6 linked regions of the Mus musculus genome follow. The protein of the gene in region 6 binds, or shares a complex with, the protein of the main gene of each other region. Links are inferred from orthologs where the notes say so. Each region holds a gene or a part of one and is shown on either strand. Other genes may lie near its edges. The genes, in order: Daxx, Pias2, Ranbp2, Sae1, Senp2 and Sumo1.

Region 1 (4,216 bases), on a different chromosome or scaffold from region 6:
TGACCTCATCCAGCCGGTTCATGGCCAAGGTTCGATTTTCCCGAAGGCGGCGAGCCAATGTGGGATCAGACAGTGCGGGGTCAACGCCTGTGTGGGAAAACAGGGTCAGCAAACCCAGTCCCAATCCTACAAGGGACTAGAGATGCCTCCATCCAACCTGAAGGGAGCGTCCTACCTGGCCTATAGTCATCTGTGAGGTGACAGCCAAAGTTGTAGATGAGATCCAGGTGGCGCCGCTCCTGTAACCTGACGCCCACGTCCCGGAAGGCATCCTGAGCCAGGAGCTGAAGCTGCTGTCTGGGAAGGCCCAGGCTGTGCCGGGTCGCCGCCTTCTCCACGGCTCTCAGCACATCTCCATAATCGGGGAAGGTGTCCAGCCCCGGCTTGTTAATGAGCCGTTCAATGCGCCTGTTGACCTCTGGGTACCGGGTGCCTCGGTACGGAATTCGCTGCTCTATGACCCGCCCCGTCAGAGAAGAGCAGTCCTTCAACTCACACAACCGCCCGAAGAGGCGGATCAACTTCCTCTTCAAGCGGGCCTCCTGCAAATACGAGGAGTCTGGGTCATCCAGCTCTGACAGGTCCAACTCCTTCTCCTGCAGCCGCCGAATCTCGGCTACGTACAGTGCCAGCAGCTGCTCCAGGCGCTGGATCTGCCTCCGGGAACCGCGAGTCCTTGAGGCCTCAGAGGCAGTGTTTTCAGTGTTTGTAAGGTCAGAGGGGGGCTCTGTGGGAGGGTTAGGGCCCGACGCCTCACTGGTCGTTGAGGCTGCAGGAGCTAAGTTCAACTTCTTCTTGATGGAGTGAGCTTTAAGAACAGTGCAGAGCTCGTTAATGTACACATAGATCTTAGCGGGCCGCTTCCGAGACCGAGCCAGAACCCTGGAGAGGATGTTGCAGAACTCTGCAGAGGCCAGAAACACAGACTGGGCACGCTGCTGCAGTTTGTGGAGGAACGGAACCACCTCAGGGTGGTCTGATGTCTCCGTCTTACACAGTTCAAGGAACTACATGGTTCAAGGGAAGGGAAAAGGGGGGAAAAAAAGATGGAATCGGTGAGGAAGCCAGAACAACCAGCCAATCACACACCCCTTTACCTGGCATCGGCCCTATCACACCATAGTGGATCACATCTTTTGTTTTTCAAGACAGGGTTTCTCTGTGTAGCTCTGGCTGTCCTGGAACTCACTCTGTAGACCAGGCTGTCCTCGAACTCAGAAATCTGCCTGCCTCTGCCTCCCAAGTGCTGGGAATAAAGGTGTGCTCCACCACTGCCCAGCTTTTTTTTTTAACATTTATTCTATATATGAGTACACTGTAGCTGTCTTCAGATACACCAGAAGAGGGCATCAGATCCTATTACAGACGGCTGTGAGCCACGCCATCATGTGGTTGGTGGTAATTGAACTCAGGACTTCTGGATGCTCAATGCTCTTAACCGCTGAACCATCTCTCCTGCCCAGTGGTTCACATTTTTAATCCTAGCTGTCAGGAGGCTGAGGCAAGTAAAAGCTCTGTGAGTTCAAGGCCAGCATGGGCCACAAAGGGCGACCCTTTTATCTCAAAAGCTTACCTCTTCAAAGAGCTTCTCATTATCCAACTTGTAGCACTTCCTACTACCGGAGTTACTGCTCCCTCCATCCACACGGGGCTCGGAGAGACCAGTGGCCTGTTGAGACAGGCCAGGACCAGGTCCTGTTGAGGCAGGATTGGGGGGTAGGTTGGAGGGCCCTGGTTGAGCAGCAGCTTCATCTTCATCGTCATCATCAAGTACAATGATGCTGTCATCGGTGGCCATGGGGGTTCAAATTCCCCTGAGGGAGAAAGTATTGGAAAGGTCAGAATTCTGGAAGGGGCAGGACAAGGGAGCCTCGAAAGAGCCCCTCCTGCTTAGTCCCACCCCGTCGGGGTTTCAGAATAGCTTAGTCCTTCCCAAGCCTTCCCAAGTCTTCAACGCCTGTCTTCTGCAACTCTCAGTTTCGAGCAGCTCTGGGGGAAAGCCTCCGGATCACCTTAAATCCTCACCCTCAACTCCAGCCACTCCCACCCCAGTGCGTTTCCTGTCTTTCGGTTGCGTTTTCCCACACTCTGTCAGCTGCTACGTTTTCTCTTTCCTCCCAATCCAATGGAGGACAAGGTCCCACGCTGCTCTCCGAGTTTTTCTGTCTACAGGAACCAACACCCTGTCCACACCACGTAGTGGGTTTGCCCAGCTCTCGCCCTCAAACAACACAGTCCTCTCGGACTTCTCCTTAACTCCAACTCTTCGACTCCCTCCCCAGAGCCTGGTGTCCTCTCCGCTCCTACAGTCATCTCCGTGTTCCCCCTTCCTCCAACCGGGGCTGTAGGCTGGAGATTTTTCACCTCCAGTCCCCTCCCTCTCACCGCACCCTGGTTTTCCCAGCCAACTCTCAGCGACGGTACCCGACAGCGAGCCCACCACTCGCCATTCCTCCTGTCTGGGCCTCAGCTTCCCGCCAAGGAGCCCTCTCTCGGCGTTCAGCCCTAGGCCGCCACACTCGCCTTCAGGGCTAGCAAGGTACCCTACCAGCTCGGCCCTGAGCCTCGTCGGGCAGGCCCTGCCGAGCCGTCGCCTTCGCCACTCCTGCGCCGCCACCCCCGCTCCGCGCACGACCTGGCCCCCACCTCAGAAACGGTCTCTCGAGGATCCCCTGAGCGCGGATCACAAATCCTCGCATAGTTCCCTCCGCCTTCCTCTCCCCAACCCCCACCGCAGACCCCACAACAGACCGGAAGCCTTAGCGCTTCCGCCTGGAGCACCTGAGGGCGGCCATATTGCTGTACGGGACCCAGGCCGCTTAGAGCCGGAAGTGACGCTCGGCTCGCCCACCGAGGCCACCGCTCCGGGGACGCGGAGGCTCGACGGGGCGGGGCGGAGGACCAGGTAGATGGGGCGCGCCATGTTGCCGTACGGCACCGGCCTGCTCCGCGGCGAGGCGTGGAGCTCTTTGCACCAGGAGCTTGCCGAAGCCGCTCGGCCAATCAGAAACTCCAGCCTCAGACCTGCCCCACAACCCCAAGCCATCGCGTGGAGTCGCATCGGGTAAGACCGGTCCCTCCACCCTAGGAGGGTAAGGAATCTCCTGCAGGTAGCTAAGGAGCTGATGTCTCTATGGCTGTGCAGGGCTCCAGGGAACGAAATAAAAGATATGCTTTTCCTGCCCTGGGTTGGTGTAAGCCTTGCACCGCCTTCTCTGCTCTCCCTCCGGCCCCTGGAGTTCCACCGCCTGGCTGCCTACGCTGGCCCTTCCCTTCCTTCGAGAGGAGGCGTGCACCTCGAGGCTGTCCAGCCGGGCCTCCTGGGCCAGGTGCACACACACACGAACACACGCATACAAATGAGCACAGCATGATGCTGGAGTGAGCTATTGTTTTTATTGTCGTCGGCGACACGCATCTCAGACTGCACCACTGTCGTTATGACCGAGCCCCCTGGTGCGAACCGTGGGCCCCCTGTTTGTCCCGGAGTCGTCTTGACCGGTACAGAAGGCAGTGCTTCACTGCCTGGGTTTGCAGGGCGGGAGGCGGAGCGCGGGATAACCTGGCGCGGGCTTGGGGAGAAGCCGTGCAAGCTGCCGCTGGGAGCTCTAGGAAAAGAGGCTCATGAAATCCCGCGGGGTGTCTTCTTCTCCCGCAGAGCCGCGGAGAAAAGGAAGAGGGGGAAACCACTGTGATGCCCGCCCGGCCCAGGGTGGGGAGGCAAGGTCCGCAGGTGTTGATGAGGAAGCCTGAACGTCAACACTCTGCGCGGAGACTTCGGCTCTGCAGCCTTCCTTCCACGGTGGTGGGCATCTTGCCAATTTGCAGGACCAAGAAAGAAGCCCAGCTGCTCTCAGAGGACCCGAACTTCAATTTTAAACCCACCTCCTCTCATTGTGTCCGGCCTTCTGGGCTTACAGCATTTCAATAGGAGCGGGGTGGGGTGGGGTGGGGTAGCTCTCCAATGGCTGACCGGACTCTTAAGAGATGATTTAATTTTCTTATCCTTGGGTTTCTCAAAATGGGTTTCCCTGAAATAAAGGTTCCCCCATCTTTTCACAATTATTTATATTCCCTTTTACGCGTGTGCCAGTGTAAGTCTCTACACAACATGAGTGCAAGTGCCTGTGAAAGCCTTTAAGAGCACTTGTTGCTCACAACCAACTGTAATCCCAGTTCCAGGAAATCCAATAGGCTTGTGTGTGGTGAACATACG
Region 2 (4,277 bases), on a different chromosome or scaffold from region 6:
AGCCTGAGCATTGGAGACCTCAAAGCCCACCCCAACAATGACACACTTCTTCCAACAAAGTCACACCTGTTCCAACAAGGCCACACATTCTAACAGTGCCATTCCCTATAGGCCAAGCATTCAAACACTTGAATCTATGGGTCATACCTATTCAAACCACACTTATAAAATGACATCTCCCTCCCCCCACCCCCACCACACCAAGCCTAAAAAGTGAAAGAACATGATTACTAAAATGAGGGGATGATCTTCATCCAAAATGGACAGTACCAGCCACATGCTGACTAATGCTACACTGATCCTCAACAGCTTAAACTACAGTACCCCAATCAGTCTACCATTTCTTCCACTGCCAAGATAACCAGAAAGCTAATGTCCATAAAATTTTTTTTATTTTATAATGTAATTAACTATCACTATGATCATCTGAATATAGTCTGTGCCAGAAACCATCATTCTGAGTGTCCTGGATATTTCTTCCCCTTCTCTTTCTTTCAGATTATAGTTTTTGGGTTTTGTTGTTTCGGTTTGGTTTGCTTGCTTGTTTGTTTTTTTGGGGGGTTGGGTTTTTTAGAGGGGCTCTGTTTTTCTTCCACTTTTATGATACAAAAGGATGGTATTTATCATTTAATTTATCCCATAAATAGAAAAATTAGGAATCCCACCTAGTTCCGAGGACACCTGAACAATGAAATCAAACATGAACTCAAGATTCTAAAATCAGATAACTAGTGTTTAAAATTTTAGCATTTCTCCTCTCAAAGGATAATATAGGTGAAAGTTTATGTGTGTTTGTTGTCTTCATAGAATTAGGAGAATACAATGTATATGTCAAGTATGTGAAGCGAGTCTGGCATGTATTCGGTGATATTAAAATGAGTATGTACCACCATCACTTTCTGCACTGTGGACTGAGATAAAGTTTTTAAAATACAAGCTAACATGGGTCTGCCCTAAGCAAAACAGAGTTTAATTCTGCTGAACTCCGCCTTCCTACCTTTCCTCTGGAAACTCGGGTTAAGTCTCTGCTGGTCACTTACTATATGACTGGGGAAACCAACAATACTATCTTTTACCAAGCACAAGGAGAGGCCAAACCAAGTTGATTTAGAGATGAGAAAATGAAGCTTGCCACAAAACAAAACAGAGACATCTGAAAGGGACTGCTTCTAAGGTCCTGCCTGGTTCCACTTCAATTTGAGTACTGATGTCCTTTCTTCCACCCTTTATGATTAAGGTCAATTCTTCCCTTAAACCAGTGACATTTCTAAAAGTCTAATACACCTAGGAGGTTTTCACCAACCAAAAAAAGCTACATCTCCTTTTGAGAGGAAATATACATCTGTTTAATGTGCAAAAGTTAAGGTAATACTGCAGGTAAAAATTTACTGTAGTGAGTGAGGCTCAGGCTATCTCAGGAGCTCCACTAAACACTTAGGATGGATACGGTTCAATTGCCCTTGTCAGTTATGCTACCTGTATAAACTGATAAGGGATACAACATGTAACCATAAAATCAATCTTTCCTGAAACAGGAGAGAAAATGGTAGGCCCTATGCGAGCTTTCACATTCACTCTTTTGTTGGCTGTCCGGCCTGCCAACATCCTTTTCCCACAAACAATAACAGTCTCACAAAGCAGAACCAGATTAAAGTAACCCAAACACCAAACGTGCCTAAGGTACCCCAACTGGCTGCAAGTTCATTTAACTTCAAATCTATATATACTTCTGTCTCCACTTTAAAACAGACAGACAGACAGACAGACAGACAGACAGACACACACACACACACACACACACACACACGCACGAGTCAGGGTTTCTATCTGTAAACATCCCACATATGTCGTCAGTAACTCGGCCTTCAATGCAGCTCACCATACCTGGCTTAGTTTGGGATAAGGTTTCTGTGAAGATTATCTAATGGAGGAAAAAAATAAATCCTTTTTTCTTATAACCTCCACCAGCCTCTCCGTTAGAGCCCGACTACAAAGGCACCAACGATAAAGTTATGACCTTGTTCTCATGCTAGCAAACAGTTGTTCCTCAAGAGCACCGACTACACACACATGACAACACGGACTCAGAAGCTTTCTTACCATGGTTACAAACCAAGTCTCTGGGTAGGAGGCCGACTACGGAAGGCGGCGTTCCCAAAAGAGCGCGCTTCTCCCCACGCCGAGGGAGACAGCACGGGGTGGGAGGAAGGGGCCTCATCTCGTGACAGACCTGCCTAGACCCCAGCGGGGGACAGGGAGCTCCCTAAACGCAACTCCTTCACGGCTCCGAAGGCGGGCGGTCACGGCGTGCCCCGGGGTCGCCACCGCAAAGGCGACCGCCGTTGGCTGTCCCGTGCCCAGCCGAATCGAGCCACCCGCCCCGCCAGGTGTGCGGCCCGCCGGGTGCCAGGGCCATCCGCCTGCCCTCGCCCGCGCGGCGCCGGACCGTACGGCTCCGCCAGCCGGCCGCACGCCCCGGCGACGACCGCGACGGCGACAGCGGCGGCGCCGCGCTGCTCCCGCCTCCCCTCCCCCCGCCCTGCGGCCTCCGCTCAGCCCCCCCCACCCCCCGCCCCCGCGACGCTCACCCTCAACTCCTCGAAATCCGCCATTTTCTCCCGCCCGCAGGCGCCTCAGCCGTCGCCGCTCCTCCACCCGCTGCCGCCAACGACACCGCCGCCGTCTCCTGCAACATCCTGCACTGGGCGCCGCTCTAGACGCCGCGGCCGCCGCCGCCGCCGCCGCCGCCGCCGCGCCGACACCTCCACCACCTCCACCGGGCCCCTCACGTGACCTGCGCGGGAGTCCCGCCCCCCGGCGCGCGCTGGCCCCGCCCCTCGCGGCGCCCCCAACCCAACGCGCGCGGTCTTCCGCCCGAGCGCGCCCCCGACCCACGCGCTTCCGGTTGGTGGCCTGTCCCTACCGAGCGCGGTCCTGCTCGCCGCTTCCTGTCTCCTCCCCTCACCCTGTTCCCCGCACCGGCAGAGCGGGCAGCTCCCGAGGCTCGTACCGGAACTGTGGCCTTCTCCCGGGACTTGGAGGACCGCCTCGGCTGAGGAAGTGACCGAGAGAAGAGAGTGGACAGGACTCACGGAAACACTCGAGAAGATTCTCTCAGTGCCATCCCCAGAGTGGCTGTGATAGGATAAGCCAAGTAAGGGTGATGTGGAAACCGTTGTTCCAAGTTAATGGTGATCGCGGATAAGAATTGTTTTGTGTTTCTGTTGTTGAGACAGGGAGGGCATCACTGTGTAACCCAGGCTTGCTTGGAACTCTTTCGTGGAGCAGTTTCGAACTTGAGATTCACCTGCTCCTTGAGTCTCTCAAGTGCTGAGAGTAAAGGTGTGTGCCACCACACCCAGTTGGCTAAGACCTTTTAATTTGTGTCTTAATTTTTCACCTTGGCTGATATTTTTCCTGACCTTGAAGGGGATGTCAACGGCCTGGACAGCAACGTTGAAAGAATTGTGGGTACGGTGAGGAGAAAAGTGAAGTAAAAGAGAGCACCCCAGAAAACTCTGATGAAAAAAGTCAGGAAATCCTGATAGCTGAAGAAAAATAAAATGAAGAGACGAGAGATAGAAGAAAGATTGCCGATATTCCCAGATTCGATGGAAGAATGAAAAAAGGAGAAATAAAACAGATACTTGGACTTGGGATGTTGAAGCAGGAGGATGAGCGATTGTTATGCAGCCGGGTGGAAGCCAGCCTAGAATAAAGTGTGAGAATGAAAAAAAACACATAATGACAGACATAATGCAGAGTCAAACTGGCTGGTCACACACAGTTCAGATTTCATTGATAAGACTGACGGAATCCGTTTAATATTGTTACTACCTAAGGCTTCTTTCCAGTTACAGTCATTCTGAGAACATTGCACTTGTATGAGTTTTAAAGTGTTGATCTGTGAGCAAAGAATTCCTATTCTATACCTCCGTCAGTTCTCCTTAGCATACAAGGATCTTTCTTCAAACATACTAATTCAAATGCCTTGATAAGGTTAGGCCATAGTCCAGTGGTAAGCTCTGGGCTAGACTCTGTTAGTTCCTGGCCTCCATTCCCAACATAGAAAAACAAACAACAAAAACAAAACTAAGCTCTAGACTGCCTCTCCTTAAACTCTTGCCCAAGAGCTAACTGAAGTACGGTATACATATAAATAATTGAACTTTAATGAGTAGAATGTGGACAGCTGACTCAAGGTTTAAAAAAAAAATACTCTTTCTTAATCACAGTGGTTGTATTGCTGTGAAGAGACACTTTGACCAAGACAACTA
Region 3 (3,500 bases), on a different chromosome or scaffold from region 6:
GTGTGTGTGTGTGTGTGTGTGTATATATATATATACACATACATACATACATACATACATACATACATACATACATACACGTGGCTGTGGAATGTATGTATGTATGTGTGTGTGTGTATATATATATATATGTATATGTGTGTATATATATATATCTCCACAGCATATGCAGAGATCAGAAGACAACCTACCTTTACATGTGTTCTAGAAATGAAAGGCATATTGCTATGTTTATGTGGTAACCATCTTTACCTGCTGAGCCATGTAGTTGGCTTTATGCTTATTGTGAGACCCTTTTTATAATTGTACCAGGTTATTTTAAGCATAAATCTGAGTAATTATTTGAGATCATATTCTGCAACCCTGTCATTCTCTAGAGTTTCAAGTCCTCTTTTAAATGTTTAGGCCATCAGGTGCATTTTGGTTACTAAATTCTTTGTGATAACTTTTTTCCTAACGTGGAGCCGTTCTGTGCTTTTACATTCTGCTGATCTTGGACCATTTACTTTCTTTGTTTTCTTTTTAGAGCTCTCTCACTATGTAGCGTTCGTTAGCTGAAACTTACAGAAATCTACCTGTCCCTTTGAGTGTGGGAGATCAAATGGCATGTGCCATTATGCCTTACTCTGGCATGCTTGTTAAGTACTTGTTCCTGTTGACAATAGTAGTGTTATTTTTTATTCTTTGTGTCATTTAACTGGTTTTTTTTTTTTTAGTTCTTCATTTATTAATTGCTTTATGGTATACTTGAGTATGTAGAAATGTAAAGATCAGAATAATTAAAACTTCCTTTGATTCTTATTGTATATTTATAATTCTTGTCTAGGTAGTATTTTAAACTATAGAATAGACTTTTAACATTGTTTTCTTGTTTTTGTTTCTTTCACTTTAGTTGCAACTACTGGCCCATCAGTATATTATAGTCAGTCACCTGCATATAACTCCCAGTATCTTCTCAGACCAGCTGCTAATGTAACTCCCACCAAGGTAACAAAGGAAAAGCACACAATTAGAACTGTTTACGTTTTAAATGTTTAGGCTTCTTTTAAAGAAATTGAAACAAGTAGTTCAGTATTGGAAGATATGTGACCTTTGATATAGGCATTTCATAGTCATCTTTTTTTGTGTGTTAACAATAAGTCGAAACATTTGGAATATTTTAAATAGGAGGATTGGATGGTTTTGGCCCTTGTGTTATTATTCTATTTTGATAGGAGTAAGGCTATTTTTGTTTTGCTAGGCTGATTTATTGTCATCCTTTTGACTCAAACTGGATATTATGACAGTAACTAAAAACTATGACTTCCAGGATGGAGATCTGGGTGCGTTGGTACATTTAGATCCCGGTTCTGCTTATTGTGAACTTGGGCAATGTTTTTTAACCTGTGTACCTCTTAGGCCACCTGGTTTTAAATGAGAATAATACTATAGTTAATAGAGTTTTTGAGGCTAAAAACCTTTAACTTCTAAAGTAAGTTAAAATGGTTAGAACTGTGCCTAGTTGATACATTAATAAATGCTTAATGAATGTTAGTAATAATCATCACTGTTAACATCATTTAGTAATTGTTTAGTGAATGAAGAATTATTTTTTTCTAGTCATTGTCAGTACAGATTTTTAAGGTGCTGTCTTATCAAATATATATTCAGGTGTCTTTGTGGCACCATTGGTATCTGTTAATGTGCTGTGTACATTGGTGTTTTCTGCTGAATGATACTCTAATTTGAGGTTTGTGAGAGTTGATTTGTTTGTAGATTTTTATAGTTTTATGAATAATCAAGAAAGTATTTTTTTTCCCTTTTAGGGTCCAGTTTATGGCATGAATAGGCTTCCACCCCAACAACATATTTATGCATATTCACAACAGATGCACACACCACCAGTGCAAAGTTCATCTGCTTGTATGTTCTCTCAGGAGATGTATGGTCCTCCCTTGCGTTTTGAGTCTCCTGCAACAGGAATTCTATCACCTAGGGGTGATGATTATTTTAATTACAATGTTCAACAGACAAGCACAAATCCACCTTTGCCAGAACCAGGGTATTTCACAAAGCCTCCACTTGTAGCTCACGCTTCAAGGTCAGCAGAATCAAAGGTTATAGAATTTGGAAAATCCAATTTCGTTCAGCCCATGCAGGGTGAAGTAATAAGGCCACCCTTGACAACACCAGCACATACAACACAGCCAACTCCCTTTAAATTTAACTCAAATTTCAAATCAAATGATGGCGACTTCACATTTTCATCACCACAGGTAGTGGCCCAGCCTCCTTCAACAGCTTATAGCAATAGTGAAAGTCTTCTAGGTCTTCTGACTTCAGATAAGCCTTTACAAGGAGATGGCTATAGTGGACTAAAGCCAATATCTGGCCAAGCTAGTGGGTCTCGGAATACATTCAGTTTTGGAAGCAAAAATACACTTACAGAAAACATGGGCCCAAATCAGCAGAAGAATTTTGGTTTTCATCGCAGTGATGACATGTTTGCTTTTCACGGTCCAGGGAAGTCTGTATTTACAACAGCTGCTTCCGAGCTGGCAAATAAAAGTCATGAGACAGATGGAGGAAGTGCTCATGGGGATGAGGAGGATGATGGCCCTCACTTTGAGCCTGTGGTACCTCTTCCTGACAAGATAGAAGTAAAAACTGGCGAGGAAGATGAAGAAGAATTCTTTTGCAATCGTGCAAAGTTGTTCCGTTTTGATGGTGAATCCAAAGAATGGAAGGAACGTGGGATAGGCAATGTAAAAATACTAAGGCATAAAACATCTGGTAAAATTCGCCTTCTGATGAGACGAGAGCAAGTATTAAAGATCTGTGCAAATCATTACATAAGCCCAGATATGAAACTGACGCCAAATGCTGGCTCAGATAGATCTTTTGTATGGCATGCCCTTGATTATGCAGATGAATTGCCAAAACCAGAACAGCTTGCAATTAGATTCAAAACTCCTGAGGAAGCAGCACTATTTAAGTGTAAATTTGAAGAGGCCCAGAACATTTTAAAAGCCTTAGGAACAAACACATCTACAGCACCAAATCATACTCTTAGAATTGTAAAGGAGTCTGCAACTCAGGATAACAAGGATATTTGCAAAGCTGATGGTGGAAACTTGAATTTTGAATTCCAGATTGTAAAGAAGGAAGGGCCTTACTGGAATTGTAACAGCTGCTCCTTTAAGAATGCTGCAACTGCTAAGAAATGTGTATCATGCCAGAATACAAACCCAACCAGTAACAAAGAGCTCCTAGGTCCTCCATTAGTTGAAAATGGCTTTGCTCCTAAAACTGGCCTGGAAAATGCTCAAGATCGATTTGCAACAATGACTGCAAATAAAGAAGGCCATTGGGACTGCAGTGTTTGTTTAGTAAGAAATGAACCCACCGTCTCTAGGTGCATTGCATGTCAGAACACAAAGTCTGCGTCTTCGTTTGTTCAAACTTCTTTCAAATTTGGTCAGGGAGATCTTCCTAAGTCTGTTGACAGTGATTTCAGATCT
Region 4 (3,500 bases), on a different chromosome or scaffold from region 6:
TTTATTTTGTGTGTACTGGTGTTTTGCCTGCATGTATGTCTATGTGAGAATGTCAGATCTTAGAGTTATGGACAGTGGTAAGCTGCCATGTGAGTATGTAGAGATGTGAACTCTGGAAGAGCAGTCAGTACACTTAACTGATGAGCCATCTCTCCAGTCCCACTGTGACTTTTTTTAGGACCTTCATTATATAGCAAAAGCTACTCTTGAATTTATAGTTCTGCCTCAATCTCCTGAGTGTTGGGATTATAGGTATGTGCCATCACACTGAACTGAGCCATGTTCTATATGTTCCCATTCCCGAATCATTCCAGGCCTGAATCAGCGGCTCAGGGGTTGAAGACTATATATTCACGTAAACCTCCTCCCAGGCCTCAGTTTCCCTACAGTGGCACTGAACCTGGATTTGCCCAGCAGCACTGGCAGCACGGCCTTTTGAGAGATACAGGGCAATCAGATGGCACATACCTGTTCGTGGTCCAGCATGGTGAGCCCTTTGACTCCTGCCAGGATAAGATTCTTGGCAATTTCAGCTCCAAGTCCTTTCATGCCAACAATCAGCACCCGGGAAGCTCGAAGCCTGTGAAGCACATGCTATGTTAATCTGATGACCCCAAGTAGTGGGACTTGTTCAATCACAGGACAGGAAAAAAAAAGAAAACTTAATTTTCACTATATGCACCACAGAAACACCACTGAACCTTCAGATCTAGAAAATTGGCCCCAAACAACTGTGCACAGAAAATGACTTCTTTACTGAGCACGTTGTGTATGCCCTCTCCACAATGAGCAGCGCAGTGGAGAAAGCAGCTCTTCAAGCATAAGGCCAGATGATGGGGCAGGGGGACAGAGCTCTGTCAGGGGACGGGGCAGGGGACAGAGCTCCGTCAGTAGGACACTTGCCGTGCATGGATGAGGTCCTGCATGGCTCTCCAGAACCACAAAATAAACGAATAAAAAGAGGACAAGGGAAGATGCAATTTTAAAGAACAAGTGTTACATAATGATGAAAACCGTTCTGAAGGAGTGTATCTGTCACCTGAATGGCTGGGAAGCTGAGGCGAGAGAGATCTCAGGAAGTTCACATCCAGACTGGATTACAAAAACCTTGTCTCCACAACAAGAAACCCAGAGAAGGTGATTTTTCATCAAAATAAAATAAACAACCGATCAACATACAGATAACTGAAAAGAAAGTATTCCAACTATAGAAAACACACAAGCTCAAAAGGGGATACTTGAAGCTAGGTGGGGTGGAACACACCTTTAGTCCCAGCACTTGGGAGGCAGAGGCAGACCGATCTCTGTGAGTTAGAGGACAGCCTGGTCTACAAAGCAAGTTCCAGGACACCCTGGGTTGTTACACAAAAAAACATGTTTCAGAAAAAAAGAAAAAGAAAAAAGCCCAGCACTTGGGAGGCAGAGGCAGGCGGATTTCTGAGTTCAAGGTCAGCCTGGTCTACAGAGTGAGTTCCAGGACAGCCAGGGCTACACAGAGAAACCCTGTCTCGAAGCCCCCCCCCCCCCAAAAAAAGAAAGAAAGAAAGAAAGAAAGAAAGAAAGAAAGAAAGAAAGAAGAAAGAAAAGGGAAAGGAGAATGCCTGGCTTGACTGTTTTCAGAGACAGCAAAAACAAAGAGGCCGCGAAGTGGTATAGAAAGGACAAATGTGAAGTATGAAAATGGGGTGGGGGGAGCACAGCACGAGGGCTCTGGGGGGCACTAGAAGCCATGGGATGAGAAGATGACGCCACAGGTAAGAGAAGTCTGGAGTGGTTATGTGTGCACAGCCACTCAGACTAGTATAATAACCAAAGAGGACAAGTGTATTTATTATGGTATTGGGGACTGAACTCAGGGGCTCCAGCCACAGCAGGCAAGTGCTTTAAGTAGAACCCCAGCTTGGCAAGAAGAGCCATGATTTAATCTGGAGCACACAAGCAAAACCCATGGAAGCATAAGAAGGTGTGTGCGAGAGGTGGTGTGCACACTTGTGACCGCAGCACTGGAGAGGTGAGGACAGGATAAAGGGTAGGTAGGTTCAGAGTCTGCTCCACGACTTAGTAAGCTTGAGACCAACCCCAGCACAACAAAAACAGGCAGGGGAATTGTGTTGATCTCTATAAATAAAAATAAGACAAAAATCAAACAAAGCACCCAGAGAACACCAGGGGCTCTTCTCCAACGATCAGTGAGTGCTTACTTAGTCTGTAGTAAGCCCAATGGCCGTCAGGGTCTGGGGTGCATATCTAAAATTCTAAGGAAGAAGGATGGGAAATTTGAGGCCACCTGGACATGGTGGCGTCCTATAAGGCCAAGCAATGGATCAGAAGCTCAAGGTCACTCTGCTTGAGGTCAGCCTGGGCGATGAGACCCTTTCTAAAGGAGGGAGGGAAAAAAAGAAACCTCAGCAGGGCATGATTACACACACCACACTAGTTCATATGAAAGCCAACTTTATGGCTATGTAGTAGAAATTAATACTCTCAAAAGAAATAATTTAAAAGGTAATATTTAAGCAAGGTGGTAGCAATAGTACACATCTTTAATCCCAGCACTAAAGAGGCAGAGGCAGGTGACGGATCTCTGGAGGCCAACCTGAACTACAGAGTAAGTTCCAGGACAGCTAGGACTACTAGAGAAACCCTGTCTTGAACAACCAAAACAAACAAACAAACAAAACAAAACAAAAAAACGCCAGGAAGTGATGGCACATGCCTTTAATCCCAGCACTGGGGAGGCAGAGGCAGGTGGATTTCTGAGTTCGAGGCCAGCCTGGTCTACAGAGTGAGTTCCAGGATAGCCAGGGCTATACAGAGAAACCCTGTTTCAAAAAACCAAAAACCAAACAAACAAGGCAGATAAATGCAGGAGGATTACTGCAAAATTGAAGCCACCTTCATCTTTGAACTGAGTTCCAAGCCTGTCAGGACCACAAACAAAAGCATTGTCTATACTCTGAAGTAATACCTGGCATGTAAGAAACTGGACATGGGTGTTAAGATAGACTTAGTCAACTTCTCTTAAACTCTACCACCTTCATTATAAAAAGCCTAGCTATTCATACACTTGAATCTGGATTTTTTCAGCACCTACTCCCAAAAAGAATTGTTTGAGACTTGGTCTCATACATACAAAGGTGGCCCTAAAACTATGTAGCAGAGAATAGCCTTGAACTTTGACCCTCCTGCCTCTACCTCCAGTATGTACCTTCTTGCCTAATGTATTTGATACTAGGATCAAACCCAGGGCTTCATGTATGCAAGAAAGGCAAGCCCCTGCGCTACATTCCCAGCTGATAAAATCTACAGCTCATCCTGAGTTGTTCAGGACTTGTCTGTACTACCTTACTAGCCTGACCACCTATTATCAGACTACTACTCACCAAGACTTGACAATCACAACATTCCACAGCCTGTAAACACACTTCCTCTCTGGCCCATTCCAAGTCCCGCACCCCAAAGCCATTTCTTCAGAGCCTGAGGAGGTTAATAGTCACCGT
Region 5 (4,259 bases), on a different chromosome or scaffold from region 6:
AAACAGGCTTTGAACTTGTAACTCACCTGCATCAAAATCCTCAGTAGTTAAGCCACAGGCTGTTAGCCAGGCCCTGGGTATCACCAGCTGGTTTTGTCATGTCGTTTTATGTATCTTACTACATTCACATACAAACCATTATTTATTCATATTTATTTTTTAAAAATAGCTTGTTTTTTCCTTAGATAATTAAAAGATACTTGTAGAAAGGCCTAGTATTTTTTATTTTCTGTAATTGTGTAAAATCAAGACATAGTCAATAAGTATTTATTGGATTTAAATGAAATATCAACAAGTTTCCATAGTTAACCATCACATCTGGTATAGACCCAAATCCATGACTGCTGTTGAAATAAGGGACATACTATAGTATTCTACTATTCCTTGCTCTTTAATCTACTTTTATTCTTGTCTACCAGTCACATACAAGAAAGTAGATTTGTGATGACAAAGCATATGGGTTCACTCAGCCAGATGAATCAGATCAATCAGTTTGAACTGGCTTCCTCCTCAGGGGAAAAAAAAAATTACCTTTACTACAGAAGACCTTAGAACTATAAACACACATTCAACACACATATCTGAAAATAGTCACCTCTAGGAAAGACAATGGCATAGAGAAAGGGCAGGAAAGAGGAAACTTCTCATTGTCTGGACTTTTTACCTTTTGAGTTTTGTTCCATGCATGTATTTTTCCTACTAAAACAAATTAATTTTCAAAGATGTAGTACCTAATCTTGGCCTTTTGGCTGGGATCTCATCAGTGTCCACTGCAGTAGAAAACAGAGTGCTGCAAAGAAAGGAGAAGATGGATGTATATAGGCCATACGTGCATTTCTATAAATAAACTTACTCAGCTCTGGAGGTGTGACTCAGTTGTAGGGCATGTGTTTAGCATATAAAAGACCGTGGTCTCTTTACCTAACACCAAAACAAAAGCTCCGTACCACACAACCTTCCTTCTCTTGTGCCCCATGTAGTCGTAAAATGAGATGCAAGGTGCAAAGCAGAGTCCTATTTCTAGACCGTAGGAAAGACTCAACACTCCCTACTACATTATGATGTATAATCTGGCCAAATTAAACCAACACATCATTTGGTTTTGGGACACTGGCCCTAAAGACAGACTTTTTTTTTTTTTTTAATTTCAAGCAACAATATAAGCAGCCTTAAGAGATAAGGTAGTAGTTGGGAGTTGGCAATGGTGTTGCTTAAATGTCTCCCGACCCCTATACCCTGGGCTGGGGATTGAAGACAGGACAGGCACGACAGACAAGCACACCGCCCCTAAGGCACAGCTCTAGTTCCTAGAAAAAAGTATCTTTTAAGACACCAGCCCCCGAGCCGGGCATGGTGGCACACACCTTTAATCCCAGCACTCGGGAGGCAGAGGCAGGCCGATTTCTGAGTTCGAGGCCAGCCTGGTCTACAGAGTGAGTTCCAGGACAGCCAGGGCTGCACAGAGAAACCCTGTCTCAAAAAACAAAAGAACAAAACAAAACAAAATAACCCACGAGCCCCCGAATGTAGTAAAGAACAGAAAGCAGCTAGAAGTCAAGGCTGGCCAGGACACATCCACACTCAGGTTTGGGTCGGCATACTGCTGACTCCGAGGGACTATGAATGAAAATGTGAGGCGATCACCAGTCCCTGTTCGATAAATATGCAGTTTCATTGTGCACCAGATCCAGTTGGGGGAGAATAAACTATTCTTACATAAGCATCAGTTTGAGAACTTTATAACATCTTAACCGATTCTTATCTGAACCCCATGGAACTGTAGAAGCCATGGGACTACATGCTACAGTTTAGCGAACAACCAGTTTCACCAATGACCTACATTCCTGGAGTCATCTATGAATCATTTTGATCTACTTCCCCTAATCCAATCTTTTGTCCACTTCTCTTGACCTGGAAACAAAAATAATCACCATCATCATAATAATAAGTGAAGTAGACATAGCAGAGGAAGGAAAGGGAGGGAGAATGTAAGAGTGGGAGACAGGGGGGAGTATAGAAGTTGTAGAATATTTTGTTTTCTAGATAAACCCTTAAAAGGGAAGACACTGTAAAGTAAATAAAGGAGTAGATGCTAAGTACTAATATTTGTCATTTCCTTCTAATTTTAACCGAATCTTACAAGAGTGCGGTACGTAAATACTTTCTGCCTCTTACAAGGATGTTAAAGAACAGGACCATTCCCTTCCCCTGCAGCCCAACACACACACCCCGACAGTTGCTGTCGAACAAGACAACTGCTGTTCCTCGGTGCGAAGACAACAGCACTCGCAGTCAAACGACTACGGGCAAACTCCTAACCTAGTGACTCGCTCCTGCGCTGTCCGCCCGCGACGACACCGGGCGACAGGAGCCGTATCCGGCGAGCAGCACATCGCCGGCCTCCCGTTCCCCTTCCGCTCGCAGCTAGAGGGACGGACTCTCCCCAGGCCTCCGCGGTCCCGTAGTCGCCGGTTCCCACAGGCCCGCGGCGCCCAACGCCAGCGCGGGGGAGGGGACCCGACCGGCGCGCGGCCACCTTACCTGCTGGAGCGCCGCCTCTTGAGTAGGGCGCGGGCCCCGGGCGCGGGCCGCTCACACAAGCGAAGAATGGTGCCGAGAACCTTAGCCAGCCATCTGTACATTCCAGGCCTGAGCAGCAGCGGCGGCCGACACACCCCGAGACGCGAACCCCAGAGCTGTCGCCGCCGCCGCCGCCGCCGCCGCCGCCGTCGCCGCTGCCGCTGCCGCTGCCGCTGCCGCCTTCGCCGCTTCAGCCGTAGCCAGGATCAGGCGCGGACTTGTGACGCCATCAGAGGGCCCACAGATTTAACGTTCCCCGGGCTAGGGGAGGACTCTCTAGAAGCCGTTGACGTCACCTTCTTCCGCCCAACGGGAAAGCGGCCTCCGGAGTCTGAGCATGCGCAGTCTGGGCCTGCTCCTTGTAAGCCTAGCAACAGGAAGCGGGACGGGGAGAGCGGGCTCTTGCGCGGGTCTGACTGGCAGACCGAAGGGCGGGGCTTTCTCTTTGGCAGAGCCAGTCAGGAGTCGATCTCGGGACAAGGCCCACAGACCCAAACCACGTGTATCGATGCTGGGCCGGGAGAGCTACCCAAGCAACCCGACAGTGGAGGGTTCTGTAAAAGAATGCGCAGGGTGGAAAATAGGTCAGGTTAGTTAATGAGTATGTAAGGGTTTGCGCTTTATTTTGTATATACATTGGTCTAATACTTTACCCGGATTGCCGTCATGTTTACAGCAACCGGACACAGTGGGGAATTTTAGGAATGTCATAAAAACCAAAGGTATATAGCAATTAAACCATGTGCCTAAGAAAATGGAGCTAACCACTAGCATTTGAGCCAGTCTAACTATTAGGGCTCATTCCGCACGCATACGTGCAAGTTTACTGGGAGAGACATTTTCATAGATACTTATAAATTAGAATACAAGGTCACCTGCTTATGTGATAAATGATTGTAATGCGCAATGGAACTAGAGAAAGTTAAACCAGATGCTGGGGAGTGAGTAGGGCAGACGGACACGACTTCTTAGGAAAAGCTTCCGAGAAACAGGGACTGAATGATTCCTGTGGCCTTTTCTAATCAGCTTGTCTCTTCCCCTCAGCTGTCAGGTAGCAATCAATTCTCATTATCCTCTCTGGGAATGTATACACTTTTCTTTTCTTCTCTTCTCTTCTCTTCTCTTCTCTTCTCTTCTCTTCTCTTCTCTTCTTTCTTTCTTCCTTTTTGTTGTTTTGTTGTTGTTGTTGTTGTTGTTTTTTGAGACAGAGTTTCTCTGTATAGCCCTGACTGTCCTGGAACTCACTTTGTAGACCAGGCTGGCCTCGAACTCAGAAATCTGCCTGCCTCTGCCTCCCGAGTGCTGGGATTAAAGGAAAACCATTAGAAATAAATGTCTAAATAATATCTCCTATGGACTTAAGCATAATGTCTGGGAGTGCAGTCCCTTGAAGTATTAAAAACAGTCTCAAAGCCGGGCGGTGGTGGCACATGACTTTAATCCCAGCACTTGGGAGGCAGAGGCAGGCAGATTTCTGAGTTCAAGGGCCAGCCTGGTCTACAGACTGAGTTCCAGGACAGTCAGGGCTACACAGAGAAACCCTGTCTCAAAAAACAAAAACCCAAAAAACAAAAACAAAAACAGTCACTGCTGGGCATAGTGGCACATGCCTTTAATGCCGGCACTTGGGAGGTAGAGATAGGTGGATCTCTGTGAATTAGAGGCCAGCCTGGTCTACG
Region 6 (3,500 bases):
AGGAGTGAAGCAACCACATGCTGGAACTTCAGAGCCAATTGAAAGGTCATAGGAAAGCTCCCATTGGTCGATCTTTTTATCATCACAAACCTGAAAATGCACAGTCCTGAAAAGGGTGGCCTCTCTGTGCACACATGAAATCTCTTAAAGGAAAAAGGGCAGTATTAAGGGAGCTGAGGTCTGATCACCAAAAATCAGCACAACAAAAACAACCAATAATGAATATTGAACACTAGAATTCATATGTTCTAAGAGATGGAGTGCCAGTATTCAATTTTCATTTTGAACACCACATTACAAAAGAACTATTTTTAAAAATAAAAAAGGATTGAGGGAAAGGAAAAATAAAAAATAAAAAGAATTATCTAAACCGTCGAGTGACCCCCCGTTTGTTCCTGATAAACTTCAATCACATCTTCTTCCTCCATTCCCAGCTGGAAGAAAAGAAAAATGCATTATTTTTATATTGGCTGCAATTAGTGGCCACTATTTTAAGGTACAAGAAGAAACATGTCATCTATAATTAATAAGCCTCTAAAGTTGAAAAGTGTTGCTCTGTAATGCTAACACCTAGGCAGTTAAGTAAGAGAATAAGGAATTCAAGGCCATCTTCAGTTAGTTCCAAACCAGCCTTGGCTAAATGAGATTGTCTCAAAAAACTGGAGAAAGACTGGTGGTGTGTGGCTTAATCCCAGTGCTCAAAAGCCAAAGGCAGGCAGATAGATTTCTGTGAGTTTGAGGCACCCTGTTTACATTGTGAGTTTCAGAACAGCCCAGGATACATAGTGAGACCCCCGTCTCAAAAAAACTTAAGAGAAACAACAACAAACAAATCCAAGCAAACAAAAAATAGGATTTGCACAGCATGTACAAGGTCAAGAGATTGATCTAGCACAGACTAGAGGGGAAGGAAATGGGGGAGGAAGGAGGGGTAGGGAGAGGAGAGGGAAGGGAAGAATGGGAGGGAAGAGAGGGGAAGGGGAAGGAGGGGGAGAAAGAAAAGAGAAGGGGAAATGAGGAGAGGGAAAAGGAAAAGGGGAGTAAAAGAGGGGGAAATAGGGGAGGAAAGGGAGGGAAAGAGGGAAAAGGGAGATTTAAGTTTAATAGTTCAATGGCATATTTTCTAAAACACATTTTTAGATGTAACTAATACTCTCATTTAATAGAAATAAAAATTAAAAACAAGGATTTTAGTTGGATAAATGCTGCCCTGAGGATCCATTCCTAAGTGGTTTATTTTGTCATCTATAATTCCCTCTGGCATCTAATTTGTGGTTTGTTATTTTTTATCTTGAGAAGGGTTTCTCGGGCCCGGCAGTGGTGGCGCACGCCTTTAATCCTGGCACTTGGGAGGCAGAGGCAGGTGGATTTCTTGAGTTCCAGGCCAGCCTGGTCTACAGAGTGAGTTCCAGGATAGCTGGGGCTATCCAGAGAAACCCTGTCTCGAAAAAACAAAAACCAACCCACCCACCCCCCAAAAAAGAGAGGGGGGTTCTCTATGTAACCCTTGCTTTTTTAGAACTCATTCTGTAGCCTCAAATTTACAGAGAGATTTACCTGCCTCTGGAATGCTGGAATTAAAGGCATGTGTCCAGCTTCCTAATTTGTGTTTTAATAGTGACCTTCTAACACAGAAGATGTATCTAGTTATCTGCTGTTGTTTAATAGTTCCAGTTTAAACAAAGGGAAGGGGAGAAAGGGGGACATTAAAACATAAAACATGAAGTCATTAATGCTTAATCCTAAATGGTCTGGGAAGAAGCAAGAGGAACACAGGCACACCAACACAGAGATTAAACAAAGAAATTAGGTAAAGAACATTTTCTTTTTTTTTTTAAATTCTGTACTTGTAACTTCTCTGGAAGCTAAAAAATATTTCAAAATAAAATCTTTTTAAAATGTGAAGAAAAGTCAAGAACAAGTCAGGTACCAAGTTGAAGGGACTCAAAATGGCCAATATCTGAAGGATAGCCACACATATTCTGGGTAACCCTGGCTGTCGTGGAACTCATTCTGTACACTAGGATGGCCTCCAACTCAAGACATTAGCCTACCTTTGCCTCCAGAGTACTGGGATTAAAAGTGAGTACCACCACTACCACCTAGACAGCCACCCATTTTCAAGAACTCTTTCCAGGTCATTGGTTAATTCAAATGGAAAGAGTAACTGTGGTGGCATCATGACCCTTATGGACCCCATGTGTGCATTCAGATGCTCATACACATTAATAAATTATTTAAATATAAATTCTAAAAACTGTTTTGTTTTGTTTTTTAACCTCTTTTCTGGTGCTAGAGATCAAACTCTGGAGATATACATACTAAGCACACGCTTTACCCCTGAGCTATAAACCCGACCAGTTTTATCCAAAATCTTATTTCAAACTTTTTCTTTTTCTTTATTTTTATTTATATGAGTACACTGTAGCTGTCTTCAGACACACACCCAGGAGAGTGCATCAGACTCCATTATATATGGTTATAAGCCACCATGTGGTTGCTGGGAATTGAACCTCCAGAAGAGCAGTCAGTGCTCTTAACTGCTGAACCATCTCTCCAGCCCTCAAACTTTTTCATACTTACTTCTTTCGGAGTATGATTATCAGCAATTCTCTGACCTTCAAAGAGAAACCTGAGTGAATTCATTGGAACTCCCTAAAAAAAGGAAAAAGAAAGTTTGTATAAAAATCTTAGGTTATTAGTAACTATGATAAAACCATAAAAGAAAAAGAAACAGCAGGAAACATGAAAGGCTTTAGGAAATCTCATGTTCCAAGTGCTACTTTATAGACAGTCATGATGTTCTTTGCAGAGATACTGAAGGTTGGTTATCTCCACATCTTCATTTTACAACTAGGGAACGTGAGGCCTGAAGATAAGCTAAGAATTTCAGCTCAAAATAATTGATAAGCCTATTTTCTCAACCACCTCTGTGTTCATTTTCTCCTTATGTCTGAGCTAGCATAAAAGAAAATAAGGACCTGAATATGCTTTCTAGCTTCTAACTATACAAGCAAAACTGGTTTTAAACATTAAATTCAAAGAATTTGGTAATGCAAAAGAGATAGCTAGTTAAGGCACAGTAATATGTGTGTATGCACACACACATACCAGGTTAAGTCTAAATGCTACCAAAGATGTTTATATTTGTTAACCATTTTAATATGACAGCTAAAGGGGAGATGATTCTTTAAAAGAAAGTAACTTTACAAGGAAGTATGAATCAAGAATGATCTATTTAAGGGCTAAAGAAATAGCTCAGTGGTTAAGAGGATTGGCTGTTCTTTCAGAGGACTCAGGTTCAATTCCCAGCACTCACATGGCAGCTATCTTAATCCCAGTCCTGAGGGAAATCCAATGCCTACTTCCAGCATCTGAGGGCATTATGGACATAATGCACAGACATACAGGCAGGTAAAACACCATGAGTAAAATCTAATTAAAACAACAACAACAATAAAACTAAAACTTTTATCTGTGGGGTTTAAACACTGTACCTG

Evidence for each region.
Region 1: the proteins of Sumo1 (region 6) and Daxx are in contact, whole or in part, in an NMR structure (PDB 2KQS), measured with the Homo sapiens proteins. The link is inferred for Mus musculus from reciprocal best matches to the Homo sapiens genes SUMO1 and DAXX. Residues at the interface, in NP_001005781.1 of Homo sapiens: Lys17, Glu18, Tyr21, Ser32, Ile34, Phe36, Lys37, Val38, Lys39, Thr41, Thr42, His43, Lys46, Leu47, Ser50, Tyr51, Arg54, Gln55; in NP_001135441.1 of Homo sapiens: Glu731, Glu732, Ile733, Ile734, Val735, Leu736, Asp738, Ser739, Asp740.
Region 2: the proteins of Sumo1 (region 6) and Pias2 are in contact, whole or in part, in an NMR structure (PDB 2ASQ), measured with the Homo sapiens proteins. The link is inferred for Mus musculus from reciprocal best matches to the Homo sapiens genes SUMO1 and PIAS2. Residues at the interface, in NP_001005781.1 of Homo sapiens: Tyr21, Lys23, Val26, Glu33, Ile34, His35, Phe36, Lys37, Val38, Lys39, Thr42, Lys46, Leu47, Ser50, Tyr51, Gln53, Arg54; in NP_004662.2 of Homo sapiens: Lys466, Val467, Asp468, Val469, Ile470, Asp471, Leu472, Thr473, Ile474, Glu475, Asp479.
Region 3: the proteins of Sumo1 (region 6) and Ranbp2 are in contact, whole or in part, in a crystal structure (PDB 1Z5S), measured with the Homo sapiens proteins. The link is inferred for Mus musculus from reciprocal best matches to the Homo sapiens genes SUMO1 and RANBP2. Residues at the interface, in NP_001005781.1 of Homo sapiens: Asp30, Ser31, Ser32, Glu33, Ile34, His35, Phe36, Lys37, Val38, Lys39, Thr41, Thr42, His43, Lys46, Leu47, Ser50, Arg54; in NP_006258.3 of Homo sapiens: Asp2631, Val2632, Leu2633, Ile2634, Val2635, Tyr2636, Glu2637, Leu2638, Pro2654, Thr2656, Cys2659.
Region 4: the proteins of Sumo1 (region 6) and Sae1 are in contact, whole or in part, in a crystal structure (PDB 3KYD), measured with the Homo sapiens proteins. The link is inferred for Mus musculus from reciprocal best matches to the Homo sapiens genes SUMO1 and SAE1. Residues at the interface, in NP_001005781.1 of Homo sapiens: Asp30, Ser31, Ser32, Glu33, Ile34, His35; in NP_005491.1 of Homo sapiens: Thr179, Lys180, Val181, Ala182, Lys183.
Region 5: the proteins of Sumo1 (region 6) and Senp2 are in contact, whole or in part, in a crystal structure (PDB 1TGZ), measured with the Homo sapiens proteins. The link is inferred for Mus musculus from reciprocal best matches to the Homo sapiens genes SUMO1 and SENP2. Residues at the interface, in NP_001005781.1 of Homo sapiens: Asn60, Arg63, Leu65, Glu67, Gly68, Gln69, Arg70, Ala72, His75, Glu89, Tyr91, Gln92, Glu93, Gln94, Thr95, Gly96, Gly97; in NP_067640.2 of Homo sapiens: Asp386, Lys394, Leu395, Arg396, Trp410, Leu411, Asn412, Asp413, Glu414, Thr440, Phe441, Pro444, Lys445, Arg456, Trp457, His474, Val477, His478, Trp479, Met497, Gln542, Gly545, Ser546, Asp547, Cys548, Gly549.

Annotation. Positions count from the first base shown.
Region 1 is NC_000083.6:33,908,029-33,912,244, reverse strand, and holds the start of Daxx (death domain-associated protein 6), read right to left. Parts: upstream 2,801-4,216; 5' UTR 2,647-2,800; exon of another isoform or gene 2,391-2,646; intron 1,815-2,390; 5' UTR 1,799-1,814; coding exon 1,574-1,798; intron 1,008-1,573; coding exon 176-1,007; intron 88-175; coding exon 1-87. UniProt on the Homo sapiens protein: Transcription corepressor known to repress transcriptional potential of several sumoylated transcription factors. Down-regulates basal and activated transcription.
Region 2 is NC_000084.6:77,063,731-77,068,007, reverse strand, and holds the start of Pias2 (E3 SUMO-protein ligase PIAS2), read right to left. Parts: upstream 2,801-4,277; 5' UTR 2,613-2,800; coding exon 2,589-2,612; intron 2,536-2,588; exon of another isoform or gene 2,104-2,535; coding exon of another isoform or gene 2,101-2,103; intron 1-2,100. UniProt on the Homo sapiens protein: Functions as an E3-type small ubiquitin-like modifier (SUMO) ligase, stabilizing the interaction between UBE2I and the substrate, and as a SUMO-tethering factor.
Region 3 is NC_000076.6:58,474,352-58,477,851, forward strand, and holds part of Ranbp2 (E3 SUMO-protein ligase RanBP2), read left to right. Parts: intron 1-892; coding exon 893-987; intron 988-1,805; coding exon 1,806-3,500. UniProt on the Homo sapiens protein: E3 SUMO-protein ligase which facilitates SUMO1 and SUMO2 conjugation by UBE2I. Involved in transport factor (Ran-GTP, karyopherin)-mediated protein import via the F-G repeat-containing domain which acts as a docking site for substrates.
Region 4 is NC_000073.6:16,377,897-16,381,396, forward strand, and holds part of Sae1 (SUMO-activating enzyme subunit 1), read right to left. Parts: intron 581-3,500; coding exon 469-580; intron 1-468. UniProt on the Homo sapiens protein: The heterodimer acts as an E1 ligase for SUMO1, SUMO2, SUMO3, and probably SUMO4. It mediates ATP-dependent activation of SUMO proteins followed by formation of a thioester bond between a SUMO protein and a conserved active site cysteine residue on UBA2/SAE2.
Region 5 is NC_000082.6:22,008,025-22,012,283, reverse strand, and holds the start of Senp2 (sentrin-specific protease 2), read right to left. Parts: upstream 2,801-4,259; 5' UTR 2,643-2,800; coding exon 2,542-2,642; intron 2,520-2,541; exon of another isoform or gene 2,394-2,519; coding exon of another isoform or gene 2,320-2,393; intron 791-2,319; coding exon 732-790; exon of another isoform or gene 684-731; coding exon of another isoform or gene 665-683; intron 1-664. UniProt on the Homo sapiens protein: Protease that catalyzes two essential functions in the SUMO pathway.
Region 6 is NC_000067.6:59,639,835-59,643,334, forward strand, and holds part of Sumo1 (small ubiquitin-related modifier 1), read right to left. Parts: intron 2,656-3,500; coding exon 2,584-2,655; intron 435-2,583; coding exon 366-434; 3' UTR 1-365. UniProt on the Homo sapiens protein: Ubiquitin-like protein that can be covalently attached to proteins as a monomer or a lysine-linked polymer.